4 linked regions of the Drosophila melanogaster genome follow. The protein of the gene in region 1 interacts with the protein of each later gene in a pairwise test. Each region holds a gene or a part of one and is shown in the gene's direction. Other genes may lie near its edges. The genes, in order: CG4270, Gp210, Set2 and CG15198.

Region 1 (7,457 bases):
AAAATATTTATGCATTGTACGTGTGCCACATGCTTATGTGTCCCTAGCTGCATTTTCCATTTTCCTCTGTCTTATTTCCTTCTTTTCGGGCAACGCAACAACATGATTTGTTTATTGTTTTAATAAACGTCAGCAATTTTCTTGGGCTTTTAAAGAAACATTTCGAACTGGCTGCATGTGCGTATGATTAATGTGGCAATGTCAACTGAATTCAAAAAACCCGCCTCACTCTTTCGCTGCTAACTAAATGGAAAACGCAAAAGGCAAAGGGAAAATGGAAAATGGAAACTTTCAATGCAACCAAATGCAATGCCACAATGATTTATGGCCCAACTTGAAAATGGACGATTGTTTCACTCGTTTCGGGAGTTGGCATCCCATGGAAACTGTGAAAATTGCTGGGATTTTGGGGGCGGCGAGGGCGTGTCCGCGGTGCTTATGGCCATCGCCATTTATTTAAACGTACGCGAACAGCGATTCGTGCTGCGATTTCCTCGATTGGAAAAATTGAATTATAACCATTTGATGAGCTCAATAAAAACTGGCAGCTGCCTTTGCCAATGATGGCCTTTCAAAAGGTTCGAAGTTCGGTTAAAAAAACGATGTAATTTTTGGACAGCCGTCATGAGTATTACGAGATTAAGGCTTATTATTATTTGTTCACTATGTGTGTATGGGCCACTTTTAATCCACATTTCCAGCTGATGAAAAAATCCCGAGCATATAGTGCTTAAATCCGGTGCCATTCATCTGGTTCCATCCGTCGCCACATACGACGCACTTTTCACATCCACTTTGCTCGCTGGCGGAAAATTTGCACCACCGATTGACGCGATAGCTTTTAGCCAAGTTCATTGCATCAAAAGGCAAAGCCAATAAAAAAGGCGAAACAGCGCCATTTAGCCGGAGGAAAGGCGATCTCCGTGCCACTGTAACTCGCTCAATTGAATAGACAAAGGGGGGGCATTTCGATGCGGCGCCCCTTTCAACATCCAGTCCTTGGAGCCCCTCCACTTCCCCCTGCGGAGGAGGTGGCATTCCGAACAGGCGCTCAGAAATCGCAGACAGGTGCTCGGTGCCCAGGATTCAGCCGAAAAGGATGGAGGCACAGTGACAGCGGATTGCAGGGGATCAGAGGGAGACCAATCGAGCTTTATTACACTGCGAAAAATGGTGCGAGTGTGTGCGTTCAGTTTCTTCTATTACAGCTCATTTTAAATGGGTTAAATATGAGTTTAATTTCCTAATAAAATGCCAATCTATTTATATACGTATTTTATATTAAAACCTACAATAAATCTCCCAAGTGTAGTGGTGGCTCAAAGTAGCACGCAGCTGAGTGGCAGAGTCCTGAAGTTTGGCGACGGCGGCCACCGTTAGTAATCCACTTTTTCGTCCTGCTCCTCCTCCCGCTGCCTTCCTTTGGGCCGCAAACATTTTAGCTTTTATGGCCGAAAGGCGCAAAATATGACTGCCAGCCAGACTTTGCCGGCGCACACATGCAAATGCAATTTCCAAAAAATTTTTCCGCCAAAAAGTCGTGCATGAGAATGTGGTTCGCAGAAACGAACCCAAAATTGTTCGTTGTTGTAGTTTTAAGTCGCTCGATAGCAATCCTGGCCCAAAAACAATTTTGGTAGGGCGGCGGAGATGTTCGAAAAAAAAACTTTTCGCTTTGCCATAAACCGATTTGGTAGCAAATTTTATGTCGTTTAGATGGAAAATTTCCATTTGACTGCCCTTCGCGGGGATCAAGGATTCAAGGAGTTCTCGTTGAGCTTTGTTTGCTCGATTTTTCAGTGACTTATTTCTGTTCTGTTGCATTTTATCGCTAATTGACATTACCGAGGGTCAAAGGCAACTGGAATGGCATCCGACTAATTGAATTCCAGGTGGGCGGTAAGTGGAAAAGCGGAAAAGCTATTCATTAACCTTTGGCACTTTGTTAATGGATTTAAAGAGTAAGTGATACTAAAAGGTGTGGAATGTGAAGCTTATAACATTTGAAATCGTTGGGAATACTTAAGCTTAACGACATTGGAATACGCATGCTACCAATGAAATCTGCTGGAATACAAGAATACATTTATTGGCTGCAGTTGAGATTGTTTGGCTTCAAATTCAGAATGAACTTTTTAAATTGTGCATTCATTTTTTGTGCGGTACTTACCCTATGCCAAAACATGACCAATTCGAATCAATGGGAATCGGAATTAAAGGCAGTATCCGTATGTGCAACCGAGTGCATCCGGCTCCGGATGCCGTGTGGTTGATGGAAATGCGAGCCTGTTTGCCCAGATACCAGATACGATATATCAGATACCATCTATGTATATAATGCCCGCATGCTCGAAATAAGAGTGCGAGTGTATTTATTTTGCGTATGGCGCGCACTGTACCCTCCACTCGACCAGCAATGCATAAATAAACGAAACCAAATTTGCGAAATTAATTAAATCGACAGAAAAGTAACGTGTGCGCTTTGCGTTTTACGCTTTGACTGTGGCCAGCTTACAACCCAAACAATTTGGCCACCCAGCCACTGAACCACCCAATCCCCCAGCCACCCAACCACCCAACCACACATTTTCCAACTCCGATGGCACCGAAATTGTGAATTGTGCATTGTGCGGATGACGCGACTGTGCATCGCGTTTCTGACAGAGGCCATGGAAACCTGAAATGCAGCGAGCAGGCTTAAAGTTTATTACAATATTACCAGAAATTCTACCAGCGGCTTAAATGGAGCCATTTATCCATTTCGAAAATATCTTTGTCTATAGAGCAAATGAAAATAAGAAATGGAAAAGGGAGCTCCCGATTAATTGAATTGAAATTCATCCTAATCTTTGATATTGATTGAATTATATATTACCAATTAACCAAATTGGCTTTAATCTGTATTAACATTAATACTTATTTAAATTCGCGGCTTAATAAACTATTTTATCCAGCTTTAAGCTTATGGCCGAGTACTTAAGTACTTAGTACACAAATTCACATAAATCAATGAGCTGGGCCATAATTTAGTGCCTGGCACATGAGTATATCAAACGCAATGCTGTGACCCCGCATCCACCTTGCGGCGCACAGGATAATTTCAGCGAGTCAGCCTGTCCTGCGGCTGTATCCGCCTATCTGTACATCGGAGCATCGGCTTAATCTCTGCCGGGAGCAGCGACATCGGCCGGTCCATTGATTTGCATTTGCACAACTCATTAGGGATTCACACTTGAAGCACCACCCGCAGCGCAGACACACACTCACACACTTAAATAATTTAATATTCCGAGTGTTTCGACATCGAAATTTGCACTTCCATGGGCGGCGCTGCGGGCGATTGATAAGGGGCCTCCATGTCGGCCAACTCGCATTATCCAGCTCGATTCAGTCGGCAATTAATGCCACTCCAATTGCCCGATTTGCCTGCACCTACATATCCAGCCATATGGCTGGATTGCGAAAGAATCGCCGGCTCATTAATAACCAAACCCAGTGACATGCATCACTCATACGTCACGTTGGTTAATCCCATCGGCAGATGCAGAAGAAGGATGTGTGATACAGTCTGTCTAATTCCCGTCAATGGATTTGGGCACGCACACGTCCTGTGAATCCGTCACCCACAGCCTGTGTTTGCGGTATCAATCACAATGCTAATACCGATGTTTAGGCCAGATTATGAGGCGGTTTGAAAAAAGGGTTTTTCGGCTGTAAACAAAACATTGTGATTGATGGGTGAGCTATTCAGAACTCAGTGAAAATTTTAATTGACTGCCTTGTATACATGTATAATAACCACTTAATTTTGTAACTTAAAAACGAGAAATGTTGATCTAGCCAGCTAGCTTAAAAAGTCATTAGGCATACGTAAATTTGGTTAACTAAATCACGGCGCCAGCCAATCCCCCAAAGAAATATGGCGAAGAGAAACGTAGCGCCCATTCCCAAAACCCACGAGCGCCCTCCAGGTCCCAGGGGTCAGGATACCAAGGGCAACAACGAGCTCTTCCTGAAGGAGGTCTTCAATACCACCAATAAATATCGGGCAATGCACGGCTGTCCCGCGGTGACCATTAATGCTGCACTAAATAAGCTGGCTCAGGAATGGGCCAATGTAGGATGAGGGATAAAGAGTATTCTATAGTATTTTATATTAATTTGCACCCATTTCCAGCATCTCCGCGATCAGAACACAATGGCGCACAGACCCAATCCCAAGTACGGCGAAAACATTTTCCTCTCCGGTGGAATGGATGTGACCGGTGATCTGCCGGTGGAAATGTGGTATCGGGAAATCAATAGCTACGATTTCAACAAGGCGCAGTTTGTGCCCACCGCTGGACACTTTACTCAGCTCATTTGGAAGTCGTCGGTGGAAATGGGTTCGGGTGTGGCCCGAAAGTGAGTCTTATGGCTATGGCTATGGTAATCCTATTCATACATGTCTTCCAATAGAGCGGATAGAACTTGGGTGGTTTGCAACTACAATCCTCCCGGCAATGTTGTGGGTTTGTTCAAGGATAATGTGCCGCCAAAGCAATAACTCTGGGATTTTTTGATCAAAATTTTAAGCATAATAAAAGCGTAATCTAGGTCCAGTATTTGTTTGTTTTATTTACCATTTTCTATTTTAAATTGTGATGTTTCGATTTTCTAGTTTCCTTGGCATCCAAGTCCGATTTAAGTAGAAGGAATTTTCTAGGCAGGACATTTTCCCTGAAATGTTCGCTTACATTTCCAGGCGGATGGTAATTGCACACAATCCAAATGGAGGAAACACTGCGTGTAAAATGTAGTTAGTTTCGGATTATTTTTAGTATGACTTAAAATTATGAACCCACTCGCATGCCACGCCCACTCCCAGGAACTCTGACTCTCTCCAAACCAACTGGGTAAAATGTCCAGTGTACAAATTAAAGCCTGGCTTTAAGTAATCGTAGTTGTATTTTTCTTGGTACCAGAGTTTCAGTATTTGATCCACGGAGAATTTGGATCTCCGGACACGCATAATATTCTCGCCGTAAAGAGGATTAGGTCGAGTTTCCAGTTTGTTCAGATCAGCCAAATGCTGTGGAAATCAAGTTTAGGTGAAAAAGAAAGGATCTATTTATATTAAATACATCTACATACATCTGCCCACTCCTGTGCATAGGAACAAAGTTTTTCATCCATTTTCAGGGGATTGGCGTTGTGAAGCCTTCGGTACTTATTGGTTTCCCTTAGTACAGCTTGTTTTATAGGCTTGCGTCGAATGATAGGAATTTTGTATATTTCAAATTCCTTTAACAGAGACTTCTTATCTTTTTTCAGTTTTTTCGACTGAATGGAACTTCTGGAAGATGTTTTGCACTTGGGAGCTGCGCATTGTAAACACCTTTTACCATGCGACCAATCCTTTTCTGTGTTAAGTGATCTATTTGGTGTTGATGGAAATTTGACTGGCAGTGACTTTATGGAATTTATAGATTGTGATCTCTGGACCTCGCAGGCCAGATAGTTCCGGGAATTATGGTAAATCTTAATGGGTTTACGGCAGAAGGAAGTGAGGCAGCTGCGGCACTTTTCCAAATCGCGGTTGCTTGAATCGCAACCAATAAACGTAGCGTCATTGTGCTGAATTATCTGCAAAGGACATTTCTCTGCCGACTGGACTTTATTTTCAATCTCCATTTAATTTAATATATTCATAGTAATATCGAAAATTTTGTAAGTTGGAAATTATTTTGTATATGAAGTTAAAGAGACTGGTGGCTGGTGTTGCTTTTTCCTAGACTTTTCGCTTTCACCAGCGCACGTTATCCTGGCTTTCCTTTTTTTTTATTAATATTAATTCTGTTTTTTCCCGTTTATTTTGGCGACAATTTCGCGTCACACATCATTAATTTTAAATTTCTGCCATAAATATCAACGGGGCGTGTATGAGCAGCGGGTGGTGACGGGTCACAAAGGTGTCAAGGTGAAATTATGGTAGCAGCAAGCTCCCCTCCTCTCCCCGTGACCTCTGACCTCCACCGAGTTAGCCTGCTTTTTGATTGACTGTTTGTCACTTGGGCATGAAAATTAAAATGGAATTTTTTACGCCCGGAGTTTTGGGGGAATGTTTTTTAGCGGACTGTTGATGAATTGATGGAGATAAAAATATTTATGATTCAATTTCCATGCCGTGCTTTCATTGATATTGAGTTCAGATCGTTAGGCTTTGTAATGAATACTACGTTAAATATACAAACTAATAATACTGGTAATTGGACTTTTTATTTAAATATTGTACATGACTGCTGCACTCTCTGACCGTTTGAATAATTTAATGTTGAATGTCATTAACCATACCCTTTAAAATCTCTGAGAAATCAAATTTTCGGTATTCTACCTAAACTGATTCGTAGAACCTTAACATTTTCCGACTTGCCACTTTCCGTGAGGCAGGAGCTATATTATTGAAACCCCCGTAACCGTAACCGTAACCGTTAACCCAATAAACCACTTTTAGGGGCGACAGGCGAACGGCAAGCGACTTTCGCTGTTGGCTTCAGTTTCACACCGTCAACAAGTGACAAGCACACCATCGCAAATATCCATAGACACACAGACAGATACGTATACGATACATATACGTGTTACTGGCATCACGTCAAAGTTGGTTGGCGTAATGCCACAGAAATTTCAGCAGCCTGCAACAAAAGCGAGTCAACCAAAATGGGAACGGTCAAAACAACAGCATAAAAATTGGTAAAATTTAAATTCACACACATACACACACTCGCAACAAAATCCCAGCAGGAAGAAGTGATCATAAGGCCTGCCCCAAAAAGTATACTATGAATTTTTATGGCGCTTTTTGGGTTTTTTTTAATTTCCACAAGCTGCCAAAAAAGGAAGAGGGACCCTCTGGTGTCCTGATGTACGTGATGGTTACATATATTGCGCTACTGAACCGAAGGTCCTTTTTTAATCGTGCTAGGTCGGTTAAAAAATATTCTTCTATGTAAATGATTTTAACAATTTCCCATTTTTTGTATTAAATTTCAATTTAATGTTGACCTACAATAAATATATTTAATTAGTTGCGGTTATGTTTATGAAGTTCGGGGAAAAAAGGAAAATCTATTAGACTCAAGCAACTATTAAATTTTAATTACAAAAATATATGGCATAAGATGAGTGAAATACGAATAAAGTGAAAATCCTTTTGGCTTTAATATTAAAATTTCAACACCTGAGGGAATAAGCCGCATTTACCACTTAGTTTCCGCAGCCGTCACACAGGACTCTTTGTGCCATTGTACACCTCGTCGAATGGTTAAATGCGTTCAACTGTCAAAAAGCCGCAGACAAAAGTTCAATTTAATTACCACAAAAGAAAGTGGGACAACAAAAGGTGTGCAATTTCCATGGGAAACCCAAAACTTCGGATCGCACTGTCTGCCAATAAATCCTGCCGACTGCCAATGAGT
Region 2 (9,009 bases), on another chromosome or scaffold:
AAGAGAGCTGTTATTTGTTTGTTGTATTAAGTTCTTGTTATCATAAGGTCTTTGATTTTCGACTCGTCGGTGTCAATCTCTGTGATAAGACTGTCGGCCAAAACACTGGGTGTCATCTCGCGCTGCAGAAAGTTGGCCACCAACTTACGGCTGGGAACTGCTCCTCCGTGGGCCAGAATTTCGGCCCGATATTTCTCACCAGCCTGACGATTGAATGGGTTGGCTTCAAAGTACGTCTGCCAGATCCAGGAAGCGATTGTTTTCGAAACAAGATAGGCATAATACTTGGCTCCGTAGCCAACTAGGTGGGAAAACCGCAGTTGCCACGCAGTGTTATCTACGTAGGGAAGTCCGTAGTAATGATCCTGTACTGAGCGCAAGGTGTCTGTGCTGCTTTGGCCATGCCGCGCCGATGCTCCGTGATATTCCTGGTCCAGCGCTGAGTAGAAAACCTGAAGTTGGGTCTCGCTAGCGGCGAACAGATTCTTGGAAGCACACAGGCGTCTTAGCATGTCCTCGGAAATGGGTTCGTGGGTCTGAAAGTGGCGGGCGAAGGTTCGCAACACACGGGGATCGCCCGCAAAGTACTCCATGAGCACACTGGGGACCTCAGCGAAGTCCGTGGAACAGCGCGTTCCCGTCACATGCTGATGCTCGGTGCGAGCTAGCATCGAATGCATTGCGTGACCCATTTCGTGAAACAGGTTGTCCAATCGCGCTGGTGACAGAAGCGTCGGTCCACTCCACCGCGGTTGCGCTAGACCCAGCATGACCACCACCACGGGGAGCTGGTAGGAGCCGTCCGGCATACGTTTGCCGCCCTGGATGGTGAAGTGACAGTCCTGATTTGGCTTCCCCACTCTCTCATAGAAGTCACAGTAAATGTAGCCTAGCAGTCCTTCCCTCTCGTGGACAACGGCGAGCTTGTAGATGTCGTTGTGCCAGGCCTCGCCTGGCTTTAAATCTGTGTTCTGCAAACGGATACCGTAAAGCGCGTGTAGCAAATTGTCCAGACCTTCCATGCAACCACCAAGAGAGAAATATGGCAGGAACTCGTTGGCGTGCTCCTCAAATAATTGCCGCCTCAGCTGGTTGGTATAATACGGCGTATCCCAAACTTCGGCTCTTGCATCCGCCTTCCCGCCTTCACGGCGTTTCATTTGTGACATCAGGGCGAAATCGCAATCTGCGCGCGGTCGCAGCTTTTCCGACAGCTCGTCGATAAACTCTCGTACCACTTCGGGTTTCTCCATCGTGCTACCTTTGAGTGCCCGGTGTGCATATGTATCGAAGCCACAGCTACGCGCCAGTTCATGCCGGCAAAGCAGTAGGTCTCGGAGAAGATCCTCCTGGCTCTTTGACGGCTGCAGGTACAACCGGTAGGCAGCCTCCCGCATCTGAACGTTCTCTGCGTTTGTGCACAGTCCAGTGATAATTACATTTTCCCCAGAGGTAGGAAAGCTGACAAAAAAAAATCTTTAGTATAGCCCAGATAGTGTTATATGTGAACTTACTAGTTACGAAAGGACTCAGGGACTTGGCTGCGTGGAAGAACACTAGGTTGCACAGCTCCACTCATGAACTTCTGGCCGAGCTGAAGAATATAGTCATTTAGCCGCACAACACGCATACGTTCCTCCTCGGGCAAGTGAATTCCACACTGCTCAAAGTCGAAAAGGAACAAACGCGACACATGTCTGTCCACTTCGCTGGTGGGCAGCTTATCTCCATGATCCACTACGTGGCTTAAAGCCTTATAGATGGGCTTATGCGTGTTAAGGCTCTCGACCATTCCGCAAATGCTTATGCAGGCCTGCTCTGCTGCTTGGGTGTATCTGCTCTGAGGATGCGCGATACGAACAAACTCTGCGAGGTCCGCCACCTTGCACAATGAGTCAGAAAGCTCGTCAAAAATGTCGACCATCTTTCGACGTCGTTGATCGGAGGTGGCCTCGGAGATCAGCTCCTGCGTCCGGCTTTCCACATTGTCTCGAAGGAGATAGAAGCCCTCAAAACTCCGCAGTTCGGGCATGCCAAAGAGGCCCTACGGGAAAAAGGCCATGTATGCCTAGTCAGAGGTCCTGCGTTTTACAGACTTTGGGTCTTACAACATCGTCGTGGGTGAAGTTGATCCGCCTAGCCGGTGGCGCATTAAACGCCGTAGCCAGCGGCGTCCACGTAGAGACTCTGCGACTGCAGTGCCGCGTTCTCCAGCGCAGCAATGTTCGACCAAATTCTAGCATGGCACTTCCCCAATTTCGGATCACTTAAATTGCTTGTTTATAACGAAATGGTTACATGAGAAGTCAGCTGCCGGTGAAGTCAACCCGATGTTGCCAGACGTTTTGCTTTTCGATTACAGACATCAATTAACTGCATGTGCAGCTGTATAGAGTTGAGTTGTGTTAACAGTATTTTTCTAAAGCTGTCACCAGTTTAACTAGGATTAGTTTAGATATTACAGAAAAATAAATGTTAATTAAGCTTAAGCGAGTCCTATTTTAGGAATACAAAAAGAATAATATTCCTATTAAGACTGAGTTGCAGGGTATCCCGAAAATGATGTTATTTGATAAATATTTACAAGCAAAAACCCAATTTTATTTGTAAATAAATATAATTATAAAAAAAGCTGTTATACGTAATATGTAAGTCTTCGTTTAACTTGAGGTACAGATATACAACTGATTATGATTTACATCACATATAATAAGTGATATATTGGTATTTTTGAAACCCGTATAATATAATTTATCGATAGTTGATATTTGCGATATTGTCATTCTTGTCCATCCCTATCCAGCATCTCGTTCCGCGCGTGGCTCGTTTGCCGGCACGATGGATTCTATTCTTTGCATGATTTTGCTGATTTTGGTAAGAAATCATGCTTCTGAGGCAGCTAGGTTGAACCACCCGCGTGTGTTACTACCAATATTCGAAGACAAGGCAATAAACTTTACCCTGGAAGTCGACGAGCCGAACTGCTACAAATGGTAAATCGGCGTCATACAGATATAATTTTATAACTTCTAGAACTACTACTACTACTATGCTGAACTTGCAGGTCGTCCTCACGCCAGGACTTGATATCTGTCATGCCCATTTACAAGGGCTTCAGCGAATGTGCATACCAGGCGGTGGTGACAGTCCGCACTCACGATCGTCGGAGGAACACTGCAATCGTCTTCGCCGAGGAAGTACAAACGGGCGAGACGCTGCGTTCCGACGTGATTGTGGATGTCATTGCTAGTCTAAATGTGCGCACCGCCACTCGACAACTTTACCTGGAGGAGGCGCCCGCCATGTTCGAGCTGCACGCCTTTGATGAACAAGGCAACGAGTTTTTTACCTTGGAGGGAATCGAGTTTGACTGGGAGATTTTGGAACCCGGTAGCAAAAGGCCCACCGCAATGCGATACCTCACGTTCACGGACAGTCCGTACCACACTGTACCGCCCACCATTGAAAAGTTTGAAGCCGACGGCAAGAAGGGGCACATGATCCTCCTTGAGGGCATTAATACTGGCACCGCCAAGGTGACCATCGCCATGCCTCAGGCCGAGTACAAGCATGTGCGGCCAGTTGAGGTGTACATCAGCGTTCTTGCAAACATTATAATTGAGCCTTCCGAAGTCACCATAATGGCTGGAGACTCCGTCTCATTTCGCATTCTGCAGCTGAAGATGGACCGACTGCACGTTATAGACAACAATCAGTATTATTTGGAGGTGGAGGACTCCAGCATTGCATACCTTCGTGGAAACAGTGCCACCGGAGCGGCTCTGGGTCGCACCCAGGTCTTTCTGCGAGACCGCAACATGGCGGACTCTGATGAGGTCCAAAAGGGACCCAGCGCTCTATTGACTGTGGCATATCCGAATAGGTTGTCCATCAGTCTGTTGCCCCATCTCAATTGGGTGACAGTACAAGGCGAGCATCACGCTATAGCATTGGATCTTTTTGCTGCCGACGGTCAGAAGATCACAATGGGCACTAAATATTCAATCAACTCAGAGGTGGATGAATCCTTTTTCGCCATTGTTGATCGTACTCGCAACGGAAGCCGCCTTTTCGGTCAAGCAAAAAAAGAGGGAATCACTCAGGTGTATGGCTCATATAAAGACGTAAGTTTATAACTAAAATGTTTGTTATATATATTACTCTAGAAAATATGTGCATAGATATAACCCATTAAAAAGAATCGCGGTATTATCATATAATTAGGCGTTTGTCCACTTCTAAAAACTAAATATTATCTAACAAAAAAAAAGCCATTAATTAAAATTTGTTTTTATTGCTTGCCGACCGCTAAAAATAATTCATTTCGTTTGCCCACCTCTTTTATAACGAAGTAAATAAAATATTAAATAAGTCAAATAAATATCTATTTTTATAAAGTCAACCGCAGTGATATGTAGAATTTTAAATTGTTTGCATTTTTTATAGAAGGTTAACTCAAAATAATAGTCCAAAAGTCTATTTGTTATATTAAAAGTTCTTATAATATTGTTATTTATGTTGCAGCTGTCGGTACAAGCTGAGCTTCAGATATTTGAGGAGCTTCAGTTAGCGCCAACCAAGGTGGTGTTGCCATACGATCCTAACAGCTTAAAACCTTTAAAGCTGCAGTTTCATGCATCTGGCGGAGATAACAACTACGCTTGGTTCTCCGGAAATCCACAGGTGATCCAGATTGACACCCAGGGCCAAGCCACAACTGAAATCCGCGACGTGAAATCCGCTTACGTGAACCAGGAGGTACTGAAAGATGGTGGTAAACTGACCGCCCACACCACCGTCAAGGTGGCTCTATCCAAGAACCAGAAAATTTCCCGTGTGGCACATATCTACTTTCTCCCCCCTGAGCGCCTTCAGATCACGCGGAGCAACTTTGAGACCGCCCTGAAGGACTTCGTACACGTGCATGTGGGCGTATACGCTCGAATAAATAATTCAGAGGTTCCCTACACAAGTTGTGATAATCTTCACTTCCAACTAGACTTCAGCCAGCCCATTCTGCAGTTGGAGGGTAATGAAGGGGCGGAGGCTGCTCACGAGGCGTGTCATGTGCTTCGGTTGCGGGCCACCGCTGTGGGCACCACCTCGCTACGCGTTTCCTATATGTATATGGACAAAGTGCTTTACGACATTATTGATTTGTATGTCTTTGAGCCATTAGTCGTGCTAAATCCAATAGAAAACGAGGTTGTTCTTCCCGTTGGGTCATCCCGTAATATAATTTATGCTAATGGGCCGCAGCGCAGTTTTACGGTGGCAGCAGAAATCATACAATCTACCGCTTTTGATGAAAAAATATTAAAAGTGTCTAAATTAGAGTTCGACACGCAAAATTTGATAACTGCGTTCACCGTGCTGTGTCGTGAGCTGGGCGAGACGCAGTTCACTTACCGAGTGCATAATAGCCTTCCCACCTCAAGCTTTGCCTTATATCAATCGGAGGTGACCACAAAGGTGCATTGCGTCCGTCCTCGCTTCCTAAAGCTCTACGCTCGCCATAACCTGCGTGACTCCTGCCCCCTGGAGAAGCGCACCTCGTTATTATTCCTGAAAGATCCAGAGAATAAAATTGAAATTGAAATCGAGGTACACGATTCAAATAATCGTAGGCTCATGAATATCAGCTCACTAGGGCTTGACTGGGAGTTTTCCGCTGGTGAAGAGCGATACCAGAAGAACATTATCCCGCACCGTCAGATTTCTGAATTGGAGTTCAATCATGGAGTTACCCTGCCGAGTCGCGACCTTCTTGTCTTGACATTGAGTGAAGTGGCGACCAACTTCCGCATTAAGGGAACGGTGTCCCAGTATAACGACAAGCTACTTGCCCAACACGGTATTCACGCGGAGCGTCCTCCCTTTGGAATCAAAAATGTGGGTAATCCTCTTCAACGTTAGTAATCCGTAAAAATTTAATGATAATTTTTTTACAGCCTCAGACGGGTTTAATATACACTCCTCTGATTGAAAATGAAATTAGGTTACACGCCGTTAACAGTACGTTGTTGCCAAAAGATTACATGAGCATTTTTCTGGCCTCGGGCTATAGCGAGCGAATACCAATCGCCCAGGGCAGCGGCTACTTGCAGCTGGAGCTCTCCGAGGCAGGTATTGTTCAAGTTGAATACAATGAAAATACCCGAATCCTAGTGCTGACGCCACTACGCCTTGGCCATGTTCGTCTTGAGTTGACCGACCGTTGCTTAATGAACGAACCCAGCCATTTATCCATCTCTGTGGTTGGAATCGGGGCTATTGAGGTAGTTAGCATGGACCGGCTAGAACGCACTACTAGAATCGAAGCTATCGTAAGGCTTTTTGATACCAATGATAATCTCTTGCTTGTGGACCAGAGCAAACTTAGTGCGTACGATTTATCCGAGGTTGTCGCAGACCAAAGTATACTGAGCGTGCGCCTAGGCGAGCAGGAAAATGTAGGACCCGGAGAGATCCGCTACACAATTACGGGCAACCAAGTCGGCGAAACCAAAATATTATTTCAGTCTGGCAAGGGCATTTATAAGGTGGCAAGCGACCCTCTAAATATTCAAGTTTTCGCTCCAATTCGTCTCTTTCCGCGCGACTCAACTCTAGTGGTGGGCAGCAGTATACAGGTGTACTTCCATGGAGGACCGCACCCAAATACCAACATGATAATCTCAGTGGAGAAGGAGCAAGTAGCAAGTAAGTTTTTTTGTGTATCATCTTAAAATCACGTAATCCCTTTTGTTTTTTATCGTCAGCTATAAGCTCTACTGTTGTTACGGCCCATAAGCTGGGGACCACCAAAATCGTAGGCAAATGTCTTCTAAAAAACCCTGTCACTGGAAAGGACGAGGTGGTCTCCCAGGACTCGGTGGAGGTACACGTAGTGGCTCTGAAAGGAGTACAGATTCGAACGCCTTTGGTCCGCATTCATAGTGGGGCCGTAATGCCAGCTACCTTGTGGGGTCTTTCTGATTTGTCGCCCATGATTTTGGGTACCTTGCAAAACACTAAAATCTCCTGGAAAGTAAGCCAACCACAGGTGGTTGAGATATTTAATGTATTTACAACTGCAGGTTAGTATACTTTTATCTATTGTTTAAAAATAAACGTGTTCGGATACCGCTGTAGAGATAAGAGACTGTAGCTCTATGGCCACCAAGAGCACGGATAACAAAAACAATGTATTCTTCGATGAGCCTGCCTGAATGAGTTTCAAAGCAGGCACAGATACGGAATATACAATAGTTTCTATGACTGTGATATTTGATGATGTGAAGCGCTTCCTTCCGCTTGTTACACATTTTTCAACGAATCTCTTTTGCAAAGAGTTTAGTATAACTTAACCTCTGCAATTGGATACATAGTTTCTATACATAACAAATAGTAATAAATTACGTTTTTTACTACTGCAGGAATAGAGTATCAGAGTGGGGATTTGATATCAGTTAGAGTAAGAGCCCTCAATCCTGGAAAGGCAACAATCACGGCATCGGTTACTTTGGCAGACGGAACAATACTGCCACCAGCTACAGTGGACTTACAAGGTACGTTCAAGCTGAAACGGCCACCTATGTCTACCATAATAATTAAAAATTGTATTGCAGTTTTTAAAACATTGGAGCTGGTAACACCAAATGCCATTAAAATGGATTCAATTTTGGCTGCGCCGCGAAGCATTCTTCAGCTTAAATCTAATATGGATAATGTGGTCTATAAACTGGACGATCGAAGTAATGGCATTGTCAGTGTAACACCAGATGGCCTTGTACACACAAAGGACTCTCTTGGCCGTGATCTGATAATTGTGAGAACCTGCTTTTCGAACCCTACACGGGAGGACTTGAATTTAGTATTTTTAATATAGGCGACGACCGCGGACCAATCCCTACCCATAGGAATTGAAGTTAAAAATGTGCAATACATTTTAGTAACGCTGATGCCAATCCTCAAATTAAGAGAGCTTGAACACAAAATCCCGCGTGGAATGAACTTTGTGTTTAAAGTGTCGCTTCACGACAATTTAGGCAACGAGCTGTCGCACAACATCGAGGATTTCAACGGACTACGATATGAACTCGGCAACAAAGATGATGTGGATGTCCAGATAGATAATAATCTAACGTTTGCGGTAAGTGTAATTAAGTCATATGATTGTAACGCTCCATCATTGCCATGTCAAATTGTATACTTTCCTTTCTCCAAGTAGTTAAAGAGAGCCCAATTTTTTTTATCTCAGACCAAAAAGTGTAAATTCATTTAGGTTTTAATTATTTGAATGAAAGGTTCGGCTACTTGTGTCTTAATTTAAAGCGAATACATTCGCATTTTAACATTCAAATGTAATTTATATTTGTCTGTTACACTCATTTTCGTTTAGTTGAACTTGATGCGAGAGACCAACAATGTCATTGGCATTAGTCTAAAGGACTCAACGGGTGTCAAGCACTCCATGGACTTCATAAAGCTATCTGTTGTCGAGTCGGACAATTTATTTCCCACCAAGGTATTTATTCTCCCAAATAAGTGGAACTTGCTTTCTTACTTATAAATGTTTTAATGGAACATCCGTCGTCTGTAACTTATTTGGCTTTGACAAAACTTTATCCAACCGGCAGACTATTTTCTCTGTTGGCGACATAATTTGTTTCGATTCACCTTTAACGTTGTCATCGACTTGGCGAAGCTCCAATGAGCAGATAGTTTACATTAATAAGCATACAGGTGAGTAATTTACTGCTTGCATTCACTTTAATCCCACCTTTAGTGAGCATTGGTATACCCTTGCATTTAAATCACAATTTTGGGACGCTTTTCCATAACGCCACTATGATGTTTTGGATTTTATAAAATATATATGTATATTCGTATCCATCTAGTCGAGTCTAAAATTTAAGCCTTTCTGTTTAAAACTCTTCAAAGGGAGAACTTCTCAGATCGATTGTATATATAAAATCACAAGTATTCTTTTCTTAACATCGAAAATGAGCGAAGCCGTCTACATCA
Region 3 (9,037 bases), on another chromosome or scaffold:
GAAACGGTGCGCGAGGAGCTGGGTCCCCACTACAAGGAGGTGCTGGGCGAGTTCGAGGCCAAGCTGAAGGGCAGTGGCAGTGGTCAGCAGCAGGGCGTCGCCCAGGCGGTGAAGCAATAGCTAGGACCGTCCGCCGCCAATATTGTTTAGTTCCCTAAGGCAATCGACTATTTAACCAGATTATTTTTTTTTTTTTTGCGCTACAACTATTGCATTTTTGTGATTATACTTGCTCTTCCTATCCAATAAGTCTTAGCCTTTCCATCACACTTGTTTTAACAATACCATTTGTGTCACGTAATGCTCATCTGTTTAAACGTACGAGAAAAACTTATAATCTTATATATAAACTTAGTTGTTAATTATGTATTTTAATTATTCGTATATAAAGTACGCTTATGTTTGTTTAAATATCGACTTTTTTTCGCGAACATAGAACAGAAAGATGCCATACATTTACATTTACGCTTTATTCGACTCGATTAACATTTGTGTTGGGGGGTGGATTCGCTCTGGGAGCGGTGCTCGCGGTTGTGCGGAATACTAGGGGTGTGTCTGCACCATACGTCTATATATGAGGTGTACAAAATAGGATCTGCCTGGTCATATCACAATTGAAATTTGTATACACAGATTGAGAAATGCTTGCTGCCCATGCACAAGAGAACTTTCACTTCGCCGCTTTACTTCATCGTCGGATCGGGGAATGCATCGCGCGGCGGCTTGAAGCTCAGCATCATGATGTGTCGCGCATACGACTTGGTGGCCCGGAAAAGGGAATCGGTGCCATGGAGGCGATCCAAGACGCCCAGCACGCCGAAACAGTTGTTGAATCTGTCGGTTGGCAAGGAAAACAGCATATTAGCCTAGTTTATATCACTAGTTGCCAATCAATTACTTTAAATGGTGAAAATCATGCGCCTCGGGACTGGGAAAGAACGGCAGATGATAGCCGGAGTGGGCGTTGAGTGTTGAAAGGATGGCCAGGGCGAACCACAGCCACGCGGTGGCCACATGGCTGCCCATGAGAAAGACGCCCAGGAAGGGCGGCAACAGGTTGCTAAAGATGTGCTCAATGGGATGGCAATAGATGGCCGTCACCGAGATGGGGGCCGTCCACTCATGATGCTGCTTATGGATGTACTTGTAGATGTGCTTGTGGTGCAGCAGACGGTGCGAATAGTAGAATCCCAGCTCCTCCATCAGGATGCACACGGTCAGCTCAAAGCAGACCCAGTGGAATGTGGGCAGGTCACGAATGTCGCTCAGTCCACGGATCTCCATTAGTCGATAGCTGGCATAGGCCAATGGTATGCCCACGAATATCTGGTTGCAGACCACGCACCAGATCACCTGGAATTCGGAGGGGTCAGACAGTGGGATCAATTGAATATAAATTTCTCGATCGATCGATCGATTGCATTACCTTTAGCAGACGACGAACCTCCACGGGCTCATTGGTGCCCGGCTGGATCTTGTACTTGCGCAGACAGGCGGGCCGATTGGTCAGGTCCATGAAGGTGTACAGTGTGCCCACGGTCCAGTAGACGAGCATCGTGAATATGGTGGTACCGAAGACCCAAAGAACCATGGGCTCGTCGCCTGGAAGATTTGTTTATTTCAAATTGAATTAATAGCTGGCGATAAAAGAGTCTATAAGTGATGCCTTAAAGTATGCAAAGTTATAATTGGAATCCAAAATTTAAATAGATGCATAGTGAATTGATTCATATGAGAATGGATGTTATTAAATCTATAAATGTATAAAGAAATATCCAAGCAACAGCTGGATATAAATCATATGTAGACCGTAAAAAAAAGCAGGCAAATAAACCCATAAAGATAAGTGGCTTAAGTAAAGTTCTTAACGCAATGAATCGTGTGAATTGTAAATTGTAAACGCTGTAAGGAAAATGCAATAAAACGGGCCTATGAACCCTGTTTACTCAGCTTCTGACTTTGAGCTTAAGCAAAATCGGTTAACCGATGAGCCCGGAACATTGAGCCCATTGTGCAATGCGTGAATTAACGTATTTACTCTGGCCAAACAGAGTTATGGTTAAATAATAAGTGTGGCTAACCCGATTGGGGTGTGTGAGTACTAAACATTTGTTTGCTGAAGAATTCAAATTTGCGTGAGTAACGCGGCGATTCATTTCGCCTAATTGGCAGCACTTCTGGTTGCATTTGTATCTGTATCTCTTGCATGTGTCTCTTTGTATCTTTGTGCCCGTATCTCTGTGTCTGTGCGATGGAATTAGTAAACAAAACAGTTGTTGTTGACATTTTGCTGTGTCGCCCAGTGGCTGAGAGTTGCAATTTGCACAGTATCGCCCATGTACACAATGTACACAAAGAGAGGAGCAAAGTTTACCTGTCAACTTATCCATTCTTTTACCCTTTGTTTTGGATATGATACTTGTTAGATTCACTTACCGAACGAGTCGATGAATTTGTCCCACTGCGACTGCCAGAAATCACCGGAGGCTCCCCAAAAGCTCTGCAGATGCCTGGCATAGATATAAGAAACCTCCATGAATTTATCCTCCATGGCTCGTAATCTCAGTGTGTATATGTATATGTTCTGGTTCTTGCAGAATTGGCTTTCTCCCGATTCTTCGCTCTCTCTCTCTCTCTCTCTCTCGCTTTCTTCACGCAAATCGCGTGTCTTCGCTGCTGAGCGTCGCAAAGGCAACTGGCGATTTTGATCGCAGGGAAAAGCGCAGCTCACAAAACCGAAGCTCAACTTAGTTCCACACTCTCGCCAAAAAAAAAAAATGAGAAAGAGAGAGTGTGGGGAAGAAAGCAGAAAACCGAACTTTGGATGCCCTTCTATGTCGTTTGTGATCTAGAAATCTATGGTATGCTATGCTAACCTCGTTCATAAAGGCAATTCGAGTAGATTTTCGCCTTAGAAAGCCTATTTCATGATTGCACTTTCAATTTGTCTATTATTCTATAGCAATGAAGAGTATACGCTTAAATAACTAAACAAACACGCTGATTACTATTCCGTTCTCTTCACCTGGGAATATAGTGAAATCTAATGCAACTCTTATATAATGGTCCACTCTGAGGTCACAAGGGCTATCGACTCAGAATGCGGATTTTAAATTTTGCATTTTTGAGCAAAAAAAAAAAAAACAAATTATGATATCAATAAGCTTATAATAATGCAATCATTGCCCCAAAACTATTTTCAGCTATTATCTTTACTAATTGGGTAAGTTGGCCCAGAAGCTTCCATTTAGATTGAAAATCTGTGTGAAAATTACTAAGCCCTAAACGAGGAGAGGTGCCAGAAGGCGGGAGAAAGCGGACTCCCGCCCAGAATCCCGATAATTACCAGGTGAGCACGTTGCGGAACAGAATGAAGGCGGCCAGGGCGCAGGTGATGATGAAGATGACGCTGTGCAGCGAGGACAGCCAAACGTCGGCGGTGCGGGCGTCATCCCAGTTTTGCAGCGGTGAACCAGGCAATGGTGTCTGTTCCTTGGCATTCTGGGGGATCAGGGGATTATTAATTATTATTATTATTAGTATAGAGTAGATGTGATTCCAGCCGGCTTACATCATTCAGGTTGAGGTAGACCGGCGGCAGACCCGCCTTGTCCTTGACGATTCCACCGCCCAACGAATAGGAGGAGGAGGATGATGATGATGAGGAACTGTTCCCAGAGCTTCCCGCTTGCTGGGACACCGAAATGGGCGAGGATGCGGATAATGAGCCGGATGAGAGGCCCATGCTATTTGGCGGTTTTCCGTGCACCGGATTTGACATATTTACGTCTTAATCTCGAGTAGTTTCCCGGTTTTTCTTACTTTCCTTCCGAAACTTTCCCAGTCAAGTTGCTCTCTCGCTCTCTTCGTAGATTTTCCGTTGCTTTCCTATTGTTTTTGTTGTGGCTTTTCCGTTGTCCTTGACATTTAACGCATTTCGATTTTTCGATTGTTTGGCAGCCCATGTGCGTGGAATTCGAAACGAATTCGGCCTGCTGGCAAGCGCACTGAATAAATAATAATAATTATAAATAATTGTTAACTTTGCAACATGAAACGTTTGTACAAAACAAAAAAAAAGTGCGAGCGATTATTTTTGAATTTTCCTAATCAAGCTCTCTCGCTCTCTCTCTCTCTATCGCTATCTCGCACGCAGTGTGACCATGCCAAGCATGGCCAATAATATACCACAGACTGAGCGAGGACATCTACCCTGTACGTAGCCTAGGTACTCATCCCGAAAACAAAATCTCGCTTGGCAACACTGCGCGCAGTGCATAAACAACAAGAAAGAAGAAGACCGCCGACGGAGAGAAAAATCGAAGTTGCATTGGTATTGGTGTCTCGCCGTGTGCATGTGACAGCAAGTGCAGTTAGTTTCTAACTAATCGTTTCAGGGATTTGGGATGGCACGCAAAGAGTAGATATCACTGCAAATCGGACACAAATCTGCATCCCCCGTCGTTGGACTGCGCGATTTAGCATCCGGAGGCTGCGGCTAGCCCGCTGCGCTACACCCGCCGCACCACCCCGCCCTCACTTCGCCCACAAATGGAGGAGTCGGGTCCGCCAAGCAATCCGTCTCCGGTTGCGTCACGTGGCCGCGGACGTGGTCGCCCGCCGAAAGTGGCGCTTTCCGCGTTGGGAAATACGCCCCCGCACATTAATCCATCGTTAAAACACGCCGATGCAGAGGCATCGCCCACGGCGCCGGAGGATCAGGATTCCGGACAGAGCGAGTGCCGGCGCAGTTCGCGCAAGAAAATCATCAAGTTCGATGTCCGGGATTTGCTAAACAAGAACCGCAAGGCGCACAAAATCCAGATCGAGGCACGGATCGACTCGAATCCCAGTACCGGCCACTCCCAGTCAGGCACAACTGCAGCATCCACATCCATGTCAACAGCAACAGCATCAGCCGCATCTGCATCCTCAGCCGCGACCGTGAGCCGTTTGTTTTCCATGTTCGAGATGAGCCACCAATCATTGCCGCCACCACCACCGCCGCCAACCGCCCTCGAGATCTTCGCCAAGCCAAGACCCACACAGAGTCTGATTGTGGCCCAGGTTACCAGTGAACCATCGGCTGTTGGTGGCGCACATCCTGTGCAGACGATGGCCGGCCTGCCGCCGGTGACACCTCGCAAGCGGGGTCGTCCCCGTAAGAGTCAACTAGCGGATGCGGCCATTATTCCAACTGTCATTGTGCCCAGCTGCTCCGATTCCGATACGAACTCCACCAGCACGACCACTTCCAACATGAGCAGTGACAGCGGCGAGCTTCCTGGCTTTCCCATACAGAAACCCAAGTCCAAGTTGCGGGTCTCACTCAAACGCTTGAAACTGGGCGGCCGGCTGGAGTCCTCCGATTCGGGGAACTCGCCATCGTCCTCTTCGCCGGAGGTTGAGCCACCAGCACTCCAGGATGAGAACGCCATGGACGAACGGCCAAAGCAGGAGCAGAACCTGAGCCGAATGGTCGATGCCGAGGAAAACTCCGATTCCGACTCACAGATCATATTCATTGAGATCGAAACGGAGAGCCCCAAGGGAGAGGAGGAGCAGGAAGAGGGACGGCCAGTCGAGGTGGAACCACAAGATTTGATCGACATCGACATGGAGCTGGCCAAGCAGGAACCAACTCCCGACCCGGAAGAAGATCTAGATGAGATTATGGTGGAGGTGCTCAGTGGGCCACCCAGTCTCTGGTCAGCGGACGATGAAGCCGAGGAAGAGGAGGATGCGACAGTTCAGAGAGCCACTCCACCGGGAAAGGAGCCTGCAGCGGATTCCTGCTCTTCAGCTCCACGGCGCAGCAGGCGGTCAGCGCCGTTGAGTGGCAGCAGTCGCCAGGGGAAGACTCTCGAGGAGACCTTCGCCGAGATAGCCGCTGAGAGCAGCAAGCAGATCCTGGAGGCGGAGGAATCACAGGATCAGGAGGAGCAGCACATACTGATAGATCTCATCGAAGACACGCTAAGTGAGTCAGAGGTTACGTCGTCCGTGTCGCCCACTATCGAGCACATGGTGGTGGAAGAAGTCGTAGTCGAAGAGAACCAGTTGGTGGATGAAGCGGATGAAATCCTTGATTCCAAGCAAGAATTTGTCATTAAAAAAGTATTTTCAGAGTCAGACAATATTGCTGCAAGCTTGAACAAAGACATTTTCGAGCCAAAAGTGGAAACTAAAGCTACGTGTGGCGAAGTGGTCCCACGGCCAGAAATGGTCACCGAAGATGTTTATATTACAGAAGGAATTGCTGCAACTCTTGAAAAATCAGCCGTAGTAACAAAACCAACTACAGAAATGATTGCAGAAACAAAACTATCCGATGAAGTCGTAATAGAGCCGCCACTAAAAGATGAATCCGATCCAAAGCAAACGGAGGTAGAACTGCCCGAATCGAAGCCAGCAGTAAACATTCCAAAGTCCGAGCGAATTTTATCCGCCGAAGTGGAAACGACGTCGTCTCCACTTGTGCCGCCAGAATGTTGCACCCTGGAAAGTGTAAGTGGACCGGTACTATTAGAAACATCATTGTCAACGGAAGAAAAGTCGAACGAAAATGTAGAAACCACTCCATTGAAGACTGAGGCAGCGAAAGAGGATAGTCCACCGGCCGCTCCGGAAGAAGAGGCATCGAATAGTTCGGAAGAACCTAATTTTTTGCTAGAAGATTACGAAAGCAACCAGGAACAAGTAGCTGAAGACGAAATGATGAAGTGCAACAATCAAAAGGGGCAAAAGCAAACACCGTTGCCAGAGATGAAGGAGCCCGAGAAACCCGTCGCCGAAACTGTGTCCAAAAAGGAGAAGGCAATGGAAAATCCGGCCAGGTCTTCGCCAGCAATTGTGGATAAAAAAGTACGCGCAGGTGAAATGGAAAAGAAGGTCGTAAAATCCACGAAAGGGACTGTTCCAGAAAAGAAAATGGATTCGAAGAAATCTTGTGCAGCCGTAACTCCTGCTAAGCAAAAAGAGAGTGGAAAATCTGCAAAGGAAGCTATTTTGAAGAAGGAAACTGAAAAGGAGAAGTCTTCAGCAAAATTAGATTCGTCATCACCTAATACACTGGATAAAAAGGGAAAAGATACTGCCCAATGGTCACCTCAGCTCCAAACTTTGCCAAAGAGCAGTACTAAGCCACCACAAGAATCTGCACCGTCAGTGATCTCGAAAACCACATCGAATCAACCCGCACCCAAAGAGGAACAACATGCAGCAAAGAAAGGTCTTTCCGACAATTCGCCACCATCGGTTCTCAAGGCCAAAGAGAAAGCTGTGTCCGGTTTCGTTGAGTGCGATGCCATGTTTAAGGCAATGGATTTGGCAAACGCCCAGTTGCGTCTCGATGAGAAGAACAAGAAAAAGCTGAAGAAGGTGCCGACCAAGGTAGAGGCACCGCCAAAGGTAGAACCACCCACCGCCGTGCCTGTTCCTGGGCAAAAAAAGTCGCTGTCTGGTAAGACCAGCTTGCGCAGGAACACCGTCTACGAAGACTCACCCAATTTGGAACGGAACAGTTCTCCCAGCTCCGATTCCGCTCAAGCAAACACTTCGGCTGGCAAGTTGAAGCCATCGAAGGTCAAAAAGAAGATTAATCCGCGACGCAGCACGATATGTGAGGCAGCCAAGGATCTCAGATCGAGCTCGAGTAGCAGCACACCCACTAGGGAGGTGGCCGCCAGCTCGCCAGTTTCCACCTCATCGGATTCCTCATCGAAGCGAAACGGATCCAAGAGAACCACGTCTGATCTGGACGGTGGCTCCAAGTTGGATCAACGACGGTACACCATCTGCGAGGATCGTCAACCCGAGACCGCCATACCAGTACCGCTGACCAAGCGCCGCTTCTCGATGCATCCCAAGGCATCTGCGAATCCGCTGCACGATACCCTTCTTCAAACGGCGGGCAAGAAGCGGGGCCGAAAGGAAGGCAAAGAGTCACTGAGCCGCCAGAATTCGCTAGACTCCAGTTCGAGTGCCTCCCAAGGAGCACCGAAAAAGAAGGCCCTAAAGTCTGCAGAAATTCTAAGTGCGGCGCTCTTGGAAACTGAGTCGTCCGAGTCCACTTCATCGGGAAGCAAAATGAGCCGCTGGGATGTGCAAACCTCGCCGGAACTGGAGGCTGCCAATCCGTTCGGCGACATTGCCAAGTTTATCGAGGACGGCGTGAATCTTCTCAAGCGCGACAAGGTGGATGAAGATCAACGGAAGGAGGGGCAGGATGAAGTGAAGCGAGAAGCCGATCCCGAGGAGGATGAATTCGCGCAACGGGTGGCTAATATGGAGACCCCGGCCACAACGCCTACCCCATCGCCCACGCAATCGAATCCGGAGGACTCAGCATCCACCACGACTGTTCTCAAGGAGCTTGAGACCGGCGGAGGCGTGCGCCGCTCCCATCGGATCAAGCAGAAGCCGCAGGGACCACGCGCTAGCCAGGGCAGAGGTGTGGCCAGCGTTGCGCTAGCACCAATCAGCATGGACGAGCAGCTGGCCGAGCTGGCCAACATCGAGGCCATCAACGAGCAGTTTCTGCGCAGCGAGGGCCTGAACACTTTCCAGTTGCTAAAGGAAAACTTCTATCGTTGTGCCAGGCAGGTGAGTGATCGATTGGGTTCCACACGATCCGCACTAGAACTTCATCCATTCCATAATTTCTGTGCTTTCAGGTGAGCCAAGAGAATGCCGAAATGCAATGCGATTGCTTTCTCACTGGCGACGAGGAGGCGCAGGGTCATCTAAGCTGCGGCGCCGGCTGCATCAATCGAATGCTGATGATCGAGTGCGGACCACTGTGCTCAAATGGCGCGCGGTGCACCAACAAGCGCTTCCAGCAGCACCAGTGCTGGCCATGTCGCGTTTTTCGCACGGAGAAGAAGGGATGCGGCATCACGGCGGAACTGCTAATACCGCCGGGTGAATTCATCATGGAGTATGTGGGCGAGGTGATCGATAGCGAGGAGTTCGAGCGCCGACAGCATCTGTACTCGAAGGATCGCAATCGTCACTACTATTTCATGGCGCTGCGAGG
Region 4 (7,356 bases), on another chromosome or scaffold:
GCCCTTTTTAGTAATTTATATTTTTTGCTCGATTGCAACTTTGCTCGCTTTCATTTGAGTCAGTATATTTTTAGCCTTGCCAGGATACTCAGCTCTGCTCCCCCTTTGGGACCTCCTGATCTCCCTCGTGGCCCCCGGGCCATGGAAGCACCCATCTGCTTCACCCTTCTTGTAATTAATTGAAATGCCTGTCGCGGCCAAGGCTGACGAAGGATTCTCAATGTCCTTGACTTTGGGGCACGAATGTGGAGCCATGGAATGGGCGAGAACTGAATTGGACAACTTAAAAAAGTGTAAGATCAATTAGAGATGTGGGTGCACAACAATAGGAAAATATAACTAAATGAAATACCGTTTTCAATTGTTAATGACTCAACAAATATATGTATATAAACTATATTTTATTACCATAAGCCTTTTATTTAATTTGTAACAATTTTGTACACAATTTGCCGCCAAATGACCACCACAAATGCTCGTTATTTCGCCGCCAAACAAGTTTCGCCCACTAAAACAAATTTAAATTCAATTTGCGCGCGCTTTAAACTCAATTAAAGTTTCTGGCCTTAAATAACATTTAAATGCCATGTCATTTGATAACATAAGCCAGCGATTTGTCACTTGGGTATGGAGTATGAGGTATGAGAAATGGAGTGCCGAAAGTTGGGTGGACTTTTGGCTGCTTATTTTTGGGGGCTGCTGGCGCAATGGAGTCGCTGCTTTTCGCAGGAAGCCAACTTGTCATTCATCAAACTTTTTCAATAAAACTTTTGCGCCGCTTCTCATCGCTGGCCAAGCTGCAAATCCGTCGCCCATTGCAAATGTCGAAAATACTTTCTCCGAAAGTGGTGAGAGTCAAGTGTGGGCGACTGAGATTCAAAGTTCCTGTGCTCCGAGAGTTTCGATTTCTTGTCTACTGCCATTGTCAACAGTTACCCATGGCCAGCTACGCTAATCCACTGCCACAATTTCCATCGGCATCAACTCAATATACAATTTAATAGAAAATAGATATATTTAGATATTTATATTTATATTCCCTTGTAAATGCAAACAAGACTTACTCATTATTTTGTTTACCTTTGACGACGTATTTGATACTCTGGCATCAAATGAACCCCATATTTATCTCAGTGTAAAACATTCGAATCCAAAGCTCTGACAAACAAATATTATATTGTTTTCCATATCGATTTCCTCTCCAACCGTTCCTGCATTCAATTTTCAGGATGAGCCATGCAACTTTTATGTTGAGCTCATCATTTTGCCAACTGCTCTTGTACGATGGCAAAAAAAGGGGTGGGGGTGTGGGTGATGGAAATTGGGCGGGAAAATCGAATAGGGAAAATACTGAATGGCAGGGAACTAAGCGGAACAGACAAAAAACAAGGATGAACAACGATGAAGACGGAGAGCTCTGGGCGGGCAAATTGACAAAAGAAGCTGCTCGAAGGACTCGATGGCTGAGTGAACTTCCAAGGAGCCAAAGGAGCCAAAGGGGATCCGCTCTCATAGTTGAGCCGTAAACAATCAATGCAATCTCAACTTGGGGAGCACGAGCACCCGGAGCTCCATCAATTTCCATAATTAATCATGCAAGACACAGCAGACACAAAAGGGTTAAGCGAAGGATTTCGTTGCTCTTCAGATTAAATCAAATCAAATCGAATCGAATTGGAAAGTAACAATGTAAAAGTTTTGCTCGACAATCCGTTGAGGGTTCCCAAAAAAATAAAAGAACTTATACAAATTTGATTGATTGTGCCTTCGCCACAGGCAAACAGATTTGGGCTTCAAATTCGTGAATCTACTTAACAATATTTAGGAAATTTAATATGTTATGCTGATGGCAACACGGCGCATGAGTAATATGTTATAAATCATACGCCGCGTTGGCAGAGCACATTTTTTGCGAGGAAACAAAATTATAACAATAAAAGAATTTCAAAATGAAATTCAATTTAATCTTTAACAATTATTTTTGGCCTACGGCAATCACCTTAAATCTAAAATTACTTTTTCACAGGTCCTGAAATACTCGTAAATAAAATTTCAAACACAATAGAGAGAGGCCAAGCAATTTCCAGCTTCAGGCGTCGCCCACAACAACAAAAAATACATACACCGCAAACGCCTAATAGATTTTCAATAGAAAATCCATTCAAGGACGCTCTGATGATTTTTCGTTCGCAAAAAAAAAAAAAGTTCGCCATGCATAAATTTCGGCCAGGCGACAAAAACAGCCGCGGAACCGCAGGCGCGTTTTACGAGCGTTTTTTCCCGCCTGCCAACCTCAAGATGCGCACAAAAACAAAAAAAAATATGTATATCTGCAACGCGGCCAGGCCAACGGCTGTGGATTCATGGCCATGAATTGACCCAAACTGAAAATGGTTAGCACGTTTTTTGGCAGGGGTTAGTCATGGCCAACAATCGGGTTAAAGGCGGCGCGGTTAGGGTAAGGGTTAAGGGGTTCTACGGGTGAAGAACAGACATTGCCGCTTACGCTTTGCGATGCAGCCCCAGGCAACCAGCAGAGTTTTCACAGCTACACAGAAAGAAAAAAAACAGAAATCAAAAAGAAAAAATCAAATATGTAAAGTACACTCTGAAAAGAATATAAAACAGAGGGTGACAAGTGAAAGTGGAAGAGTGCTTTTGAAAAACTAAAACTTTACAGTGAAAAAAAAAACGCTCTTTAGAAACAGAAATCATTAATGATAATATTTAAATTTTCATTTGTTAAAAAGGTTAAATTTAACTACTTTTTTTAACCAATTGAAATAATATAATTCAAAACAACTTCTTAAGAAACTGACAAATGTACTTTAATCATATCACATATCTAAGTTTCGGGTTTCCCTCTTTCCTTACAAGAAATTATCTAGCTCAAAACTAGAAGCTTAGGAAAATGCATGAAATGCCCAAGTGGATGCAGTTGCTCCTCTTACAAAAGCTGCCTTACCATTCTGTGTGGTGCTGCCTTGGAAGAGGTTCCGCAGATACGTGATCAGCCGCCGGTGGAGCGGTCGATGCCGATGGCGCGATGATTTCCTATGCGAGGAGGAGGACTCCTGACCGCCACCGCCCTGCTCCACATCTTCCACGTCCAGGGTGGAGACAATCGCTGCCCCCGAGCCCGCTGCACCCGAACCCGGACCACTGGCCACCAGCTCCTTGCCGCACTGACTGGCGTCCACAATAATCTCGATGCTGCGTTGCGTGCTGGACTTTTTAATGCCCAATGCCGCCGTGGAGCAACTGCTGCCGGAGGGACCACCACCGCCACCGCCGGAGTTAATGGTGCTGATGAGGGCATCTGTGACACTGGATCCGGTGCCAGCGATGCTGCTCACCGTCTGGTGATGCATCTGCTGCTGCTGCTGGTGCTGCTGGACCGCTCGACCTGTGAGCAGGTGATGCTGGGCGCTCGAGGGCAGCTCGTTGACGGTGCCATTGCTGTGGCTTCCACGATAGATGAGCTCCGTTTCGTTGCTCACCTGGCGCAGGGCATGCAGTCCGGTGTGCGATGCACTGCTTGACATTCCGGCGGAGGATCCACCACCTGCGCCGCCGCCTCCAGCTCCTCCTCCTCCTCCGCCGCCGCCGCTGCCGGAACCACCATTTAGACCCGTGTAGTAGGCGCTATTCGGTCGCTGGCTGTGCTGCACCTGTGGCCCGGCCATAATGTTTCTCTCAGTGTATGTTATGTACTGCTGGAGCGGCTAGAGTTCCACCTCCTTCTGCTGCTCCTGTTCCTGCTCCCGATCCTCTCTAGCGGCTGGCTTTAATTGTCGCTGGCTGGTTTTAGTGGTTTTAGTAGCATATTGGACAGTTACATGGTTACGGCGGTCACTTTGTTAGGCAGATTGGGGTTAAGCGGTGCCGCATCTGCGAGAAGCGAGTAAAATCGAGCAGAATATATATGTTAGTTCCGATACTAAGGCATTTAGGTCTCTAAACCGATCAATTTCTTTAATTTAATTTCATTTGGGAATTAATTAGTTTCCCAAAAACAGTACAAACAAACTGTACCAAATGCTTTCGAAGCTGGGTACTTTATCGTGTTCCCATATTATTTTCTAATTATCTTAATTTGATCGGAATAGAGTAAATAACAAAGAAAACTATTTCCAGGAATTTCCATTTATTCCATTTGCCAGCAGCGTTGCATTGTTAGTATGCGTGCATGCGTATGTGTGTGCGTGTGTGTGCGTATGTGAATTATAAAGCTGTTGTAAGCGCACTTGTTAGCCCATTTTAATCCTATTTACTAAATGATACACTAAACTAGACAATTGCCTTCTCAGTAAATTGCGGCTAACTAAGTTGCCAATGCACATCGATTGAGATGCTAACGCACATTGTAACCTATTAAATTTATGCAAAATATTACAACTAAATTAAACATTTGTTATCCCAAGTAAGTAGGCCTCGCAATGAAACTCGCATAGATAAAACCATCCGTGTGGTTGACTTTTGTTCAGTATTGGGGCAAACCTTACACCGAACAGTTCGGAAAACTAGCCAAAAAAAAAAAAATTCAAAATTTTTCCGTGTGAATAACTCCGTGTTTTTCCACATTTTCTACCTTTGCCGTTTAAACGTTGCTGCGCTCACCATCACCATGAAAACCCTCGAGTCCGACGACAAACCCTTCAATCCCTTCTACATTGGCCCACATCCCAGCAAGGCGTGTGCCATTCCCGAGATTCCCGGCCAGCAATGCTCACCCAACTGTCAGCCAACTACTACGACCACCAATGGTTCTCCAACGGATGCAACGGATCCCAACAGTTTGCCCAGCGGAGCTGCGGGCGGCATGGTAATCGTGGCCAACATATATAGCACCGTCGAGGTCCTGGCCGCCGCCGCTCGTATGGGCGGAGCAGCGGGCACTGGAGGGGATCAGGGTGCGTCGTCTTCCAACAACACCACATGCAAGCCGTATCCCTGCATGGAGGGCGCTCGCATCGATGGTCCTGGCTGTGGTTAGAACCAGAGGAAGTTCACATTGGATCAGAAAGCTTTATCTACCAACTGGCTATTTGAATAGGCTAACTCGCAACACCAAGCTAGCCCCAAATACAAAAATAAAAGGCCCAGAAAAATAATCCATTCGTATTTTTTCTATAGTCTGTCGAAAAATGATCAGTCTTTTTCCTACAGCAATGTAAATAGTTGTCCAAATATGGAATGCCATACCTCGTTGAACTCGTCATAAAATTGTCTTTCGAATGGCATTCACAGTTAAAAATGTAATTTTTTTTCAATTTTTCGCAAAAAATGATGATGTTACCCCTTATAAAAAATCTGAAAATTTGAAAAAAATCAATTTTTTCAAATTAACAAAACGGTTACAGAAATCGTTTATTTGGATCATTAGCTGTATAAAACAGTAATTTTTTTGAATAAGTGACCATTTTTGGCCAAGTTATAGCAAACTGAATTCTTCGAAAAAATCATCATTTTGCCAAAATGAAACACCAATTTTTCAACAAAATATAATCATTATTTTGTTCATAGCAATAAAGTTATTTATCCAAACATGGAATGCCATACCTCGTTGAACTCGTCATAAAATTGTCTTTCGAATGGCATTCACAGTTAAAAATGTAATTTTTTTTCAATTTTTCGCAAAAAATGATGATGTTACCCCTTATAAAAAATCTGAAAATTTGAAAAAAATCAATTTTTTCAAATTAACAAAACGGTTACAGAAATCGTTTATTTGGATCATTAGCTGTATAAAACAGTAATTTTTTTGAATAAGTGACCATTTTTGGCCAAGTTATAGCAAACTGAATTCTTCGAAAAAATCATCATTTTGCCAAAATGAAACACCAATTTTTCAACAAAATATAATCATTATTTTGTTCATAGCAATAAAGTTATTTATCCAAACATGGAATGCCATACCTCGTTGAACTCGTCATAAAATTGCCTTTCGAATGGCATTCACAGTTAAAAATGTAATTTTTTGTCAATTTTTCGCAAAAAATGATGATGTTACCCCTTATAAAAAATCTGAAAATTTGAAAAAAATCAATTTTTTCAAATTAACAAAACGGTTACAGAAATCGTTTATTTGGATCATTAGCTGTATAAAACAGTAATTTTTTTGAATAAGTGACCATTTTTGGCCAAGTTATAGCAAACTGAATTCTTCGAAAAAATCATCATTTTGCCAAAATGAAACACCAATTTTTCAACAAAATATAATCATTATTTTGTTCATAGCAATAAAGTTATTTATCCAAACATGGAATGCCATACCTCGTTGAACTCGTCATAAAATTGCCTTTCGAATGGCATTCACAGTTAAAAATGTAATTTTTTGTCAATTTTTCGCAAAAAATGATGATGTTACCCCTTATAAAAAATCTGAAAATTTGAAAAAAATTTATTTTATCAAATTAACAAAATGGTCATAGAAATCGTTTCTTTGATTTATTAGCTGTATAAAAAAGTACTTTTTTTTTTGAATGGGTGACCTTTTTTGGCCAAGTTATAGCAAATTGAATTAGTTGAAAGTATGAATTTTTTGCAAAATGTGGTGTTTCAGAAATCCTTTGGTTAGTTATATCATAGCAATGGATCATTGGCTGAATGCCAATTATTTAAGAAAGCCAGTTGGTTACTTAAATTTTCGGCGGCTAAAGAGTTTTCCCGTTAACTGTTCAACAATAAACGATTCGAGTGGAATCCCATTCGGGGAGCATTATTTTTGGAAAGAAATTCGTTCGTACATTTGCAAGCCGTTGCGATGGATTTCATCTGAAGCTGCAGCTGCATCATTTATGGTTCGCTGGCAACTGGCAAATGGATCAGGAGCAGGAGCAGCAGCATCCACATTCACATGCACATCATCCTTTGGCCCAATCGTTTGGGGCGCTGCAGGAGTGCGGTGCGTTCGGCCTGGAGTCTATCGAACGTATTGCTTTTGCAAATTCAATGAAGTAAAAATTTATTATTTATTGATAGACTTATGCAACTGCACAACAGCAGCACCATCAGCAGCAGCAGCAGCAGGAACAGCAACAAGGAGCTGAACACTTTATGCCGCCAACCTTGCAACCTTTATGCTGCAACCGAACAGTGTTGCAAAGTTGGTCATACTCGAAGCAGTTAACCATTTACTTTTAGCCCAACATTTCAACATTTTTAAAAAGTAGATTCTATAATTTATATAGGAGCAAAAAAAAAACTTATGTAAACGTATCTTTGCGTAAGAATACTTGGAATTTAATTTACTTGAATTAACATTTGCAATACCCATTGAATGATTATATATTTTTATTTATTTATAATTAACCTTAGAGTGCACAAGTAAAAAGTAACGCCTTTCGGTATTGA

Evidence for each region.
Region 2: the proteins of CG4270 (region 1) and Gp210 interact in a two-hybrid assay, tested with the Drosophila melanogaster proteins (one large-scale study listed by BioGRID).
Region 3: the proteins of CG4270 (region 1) and Set2 interact in a two-hybrid assay, tested with the Drosophila melanogaster proteins (one large-scale study listed by BioGRID).
Region 4: the proteins of CG4270 (region 1) and CG15198 interact in a two-hybrid assay, tested with the Drosophila melanogaster proteins (one large-scale study listed by BioGRID).

What each region holds. Positions count from the first base shown.
Region 1 is NT_033779.5:2,259,639-2,267,095, forward strand, and holds CG4270 (uncharacterized protein), read left to right. Parts: upstream 1-3,803; 5' UTR 3,804-3,919; coding exon 3,920-4,117; intron 4,118-4,177; coding exon 4,178-4,404; coding exon of another isoform or gene 4,405-4,408; exon of another isoform or gene 4,409-4,447; intron 4,448-4,458; coding exon 4,459-4,546; 3' UTR 4,547-4,603; downstream 4,604-7,457. Other genes in the region: CG34049 (uncharacterized protein), read right to left, coding at 4,629-4,782, 4,845-5,071, 5,134-5,673.
Region 2 is NT_033778.4:5,758,070-5,767,078, forward strand, and holds the start of Gp210 (glycoprotein 210 kDa), read left to right. Parts: upstream 1-2,792; 5' UTR 2,793-2,838; coding exon 2,839-2,993; intron 2,994-3,064; coding exon 3,065-4,124; intron 4,125-4,524; coding exon 4,525-5,892; intron 5,893-5,951; coding exon 5,952-6,702; intron 6,703-6,761; coding exon 6,762-7,079; intron 7,080-7,110; exon of another isoform or gene 7,111-7,250; intron 7,251-7,418; coding exon 7,419-7,550; intron 7,551-7,610; coding exon 7,611-7,810; intron 7,811-7,870; coding exon 7,871-8,134; intron 8,135-8,383; coding exon 8,384-8,509; intron 8,510-8,621; coding exon 8,622-8,727; intron 8,728-9,009. Other genes in the region: CG7791 (uncharacterized protein), read right to left, coding at 27-1,461, 1,515-2,044, 2,109-2,243.
Region 3 is NC_004354.4:13,408,916-13,417,952, forward strand, and holds the start of Set2 (SET domain containing 2), read left to right. Parts: upstream 1-4,326; 5' UTR 4,327-4,551; coding exon 4,552-8,604; intron 8,605-8,675; coding exon 8,676-9,037. Other genes in the region: GstT4 (glutathione S transferase T4), read left to right, coding at 1-120; CG1998 (uncharacterized protein), read right to left, coding at 684-834, 899-1,353, 1,427-1,602, 2,437-2,510, 3,347-3,501, 3,572-3,781. UniProt on the Drosophila melanogaster protein: Histone methyltransferase that specifically trimethylates 'Lys-36' of histone H3 (H3K36me3). Represents the main enzyme generating H3K36me3, a specific tag for epigenetic transcriptional activation.
Region 4 is NC_004354.4:11,243,782-11,251,137, forward strand, and holds CG15198 (uncharacterized protein), read left to right. Parts: upstream 1-4,454; 5' UTR 4,455-4,627; coding exon 4,628-4,996; 3' UTR 4,997-5,104; downstream 5,105-7,356. Other genes in the region: CG44422 (uncharacterized protein), read right to left, coding at 2,966-3,686.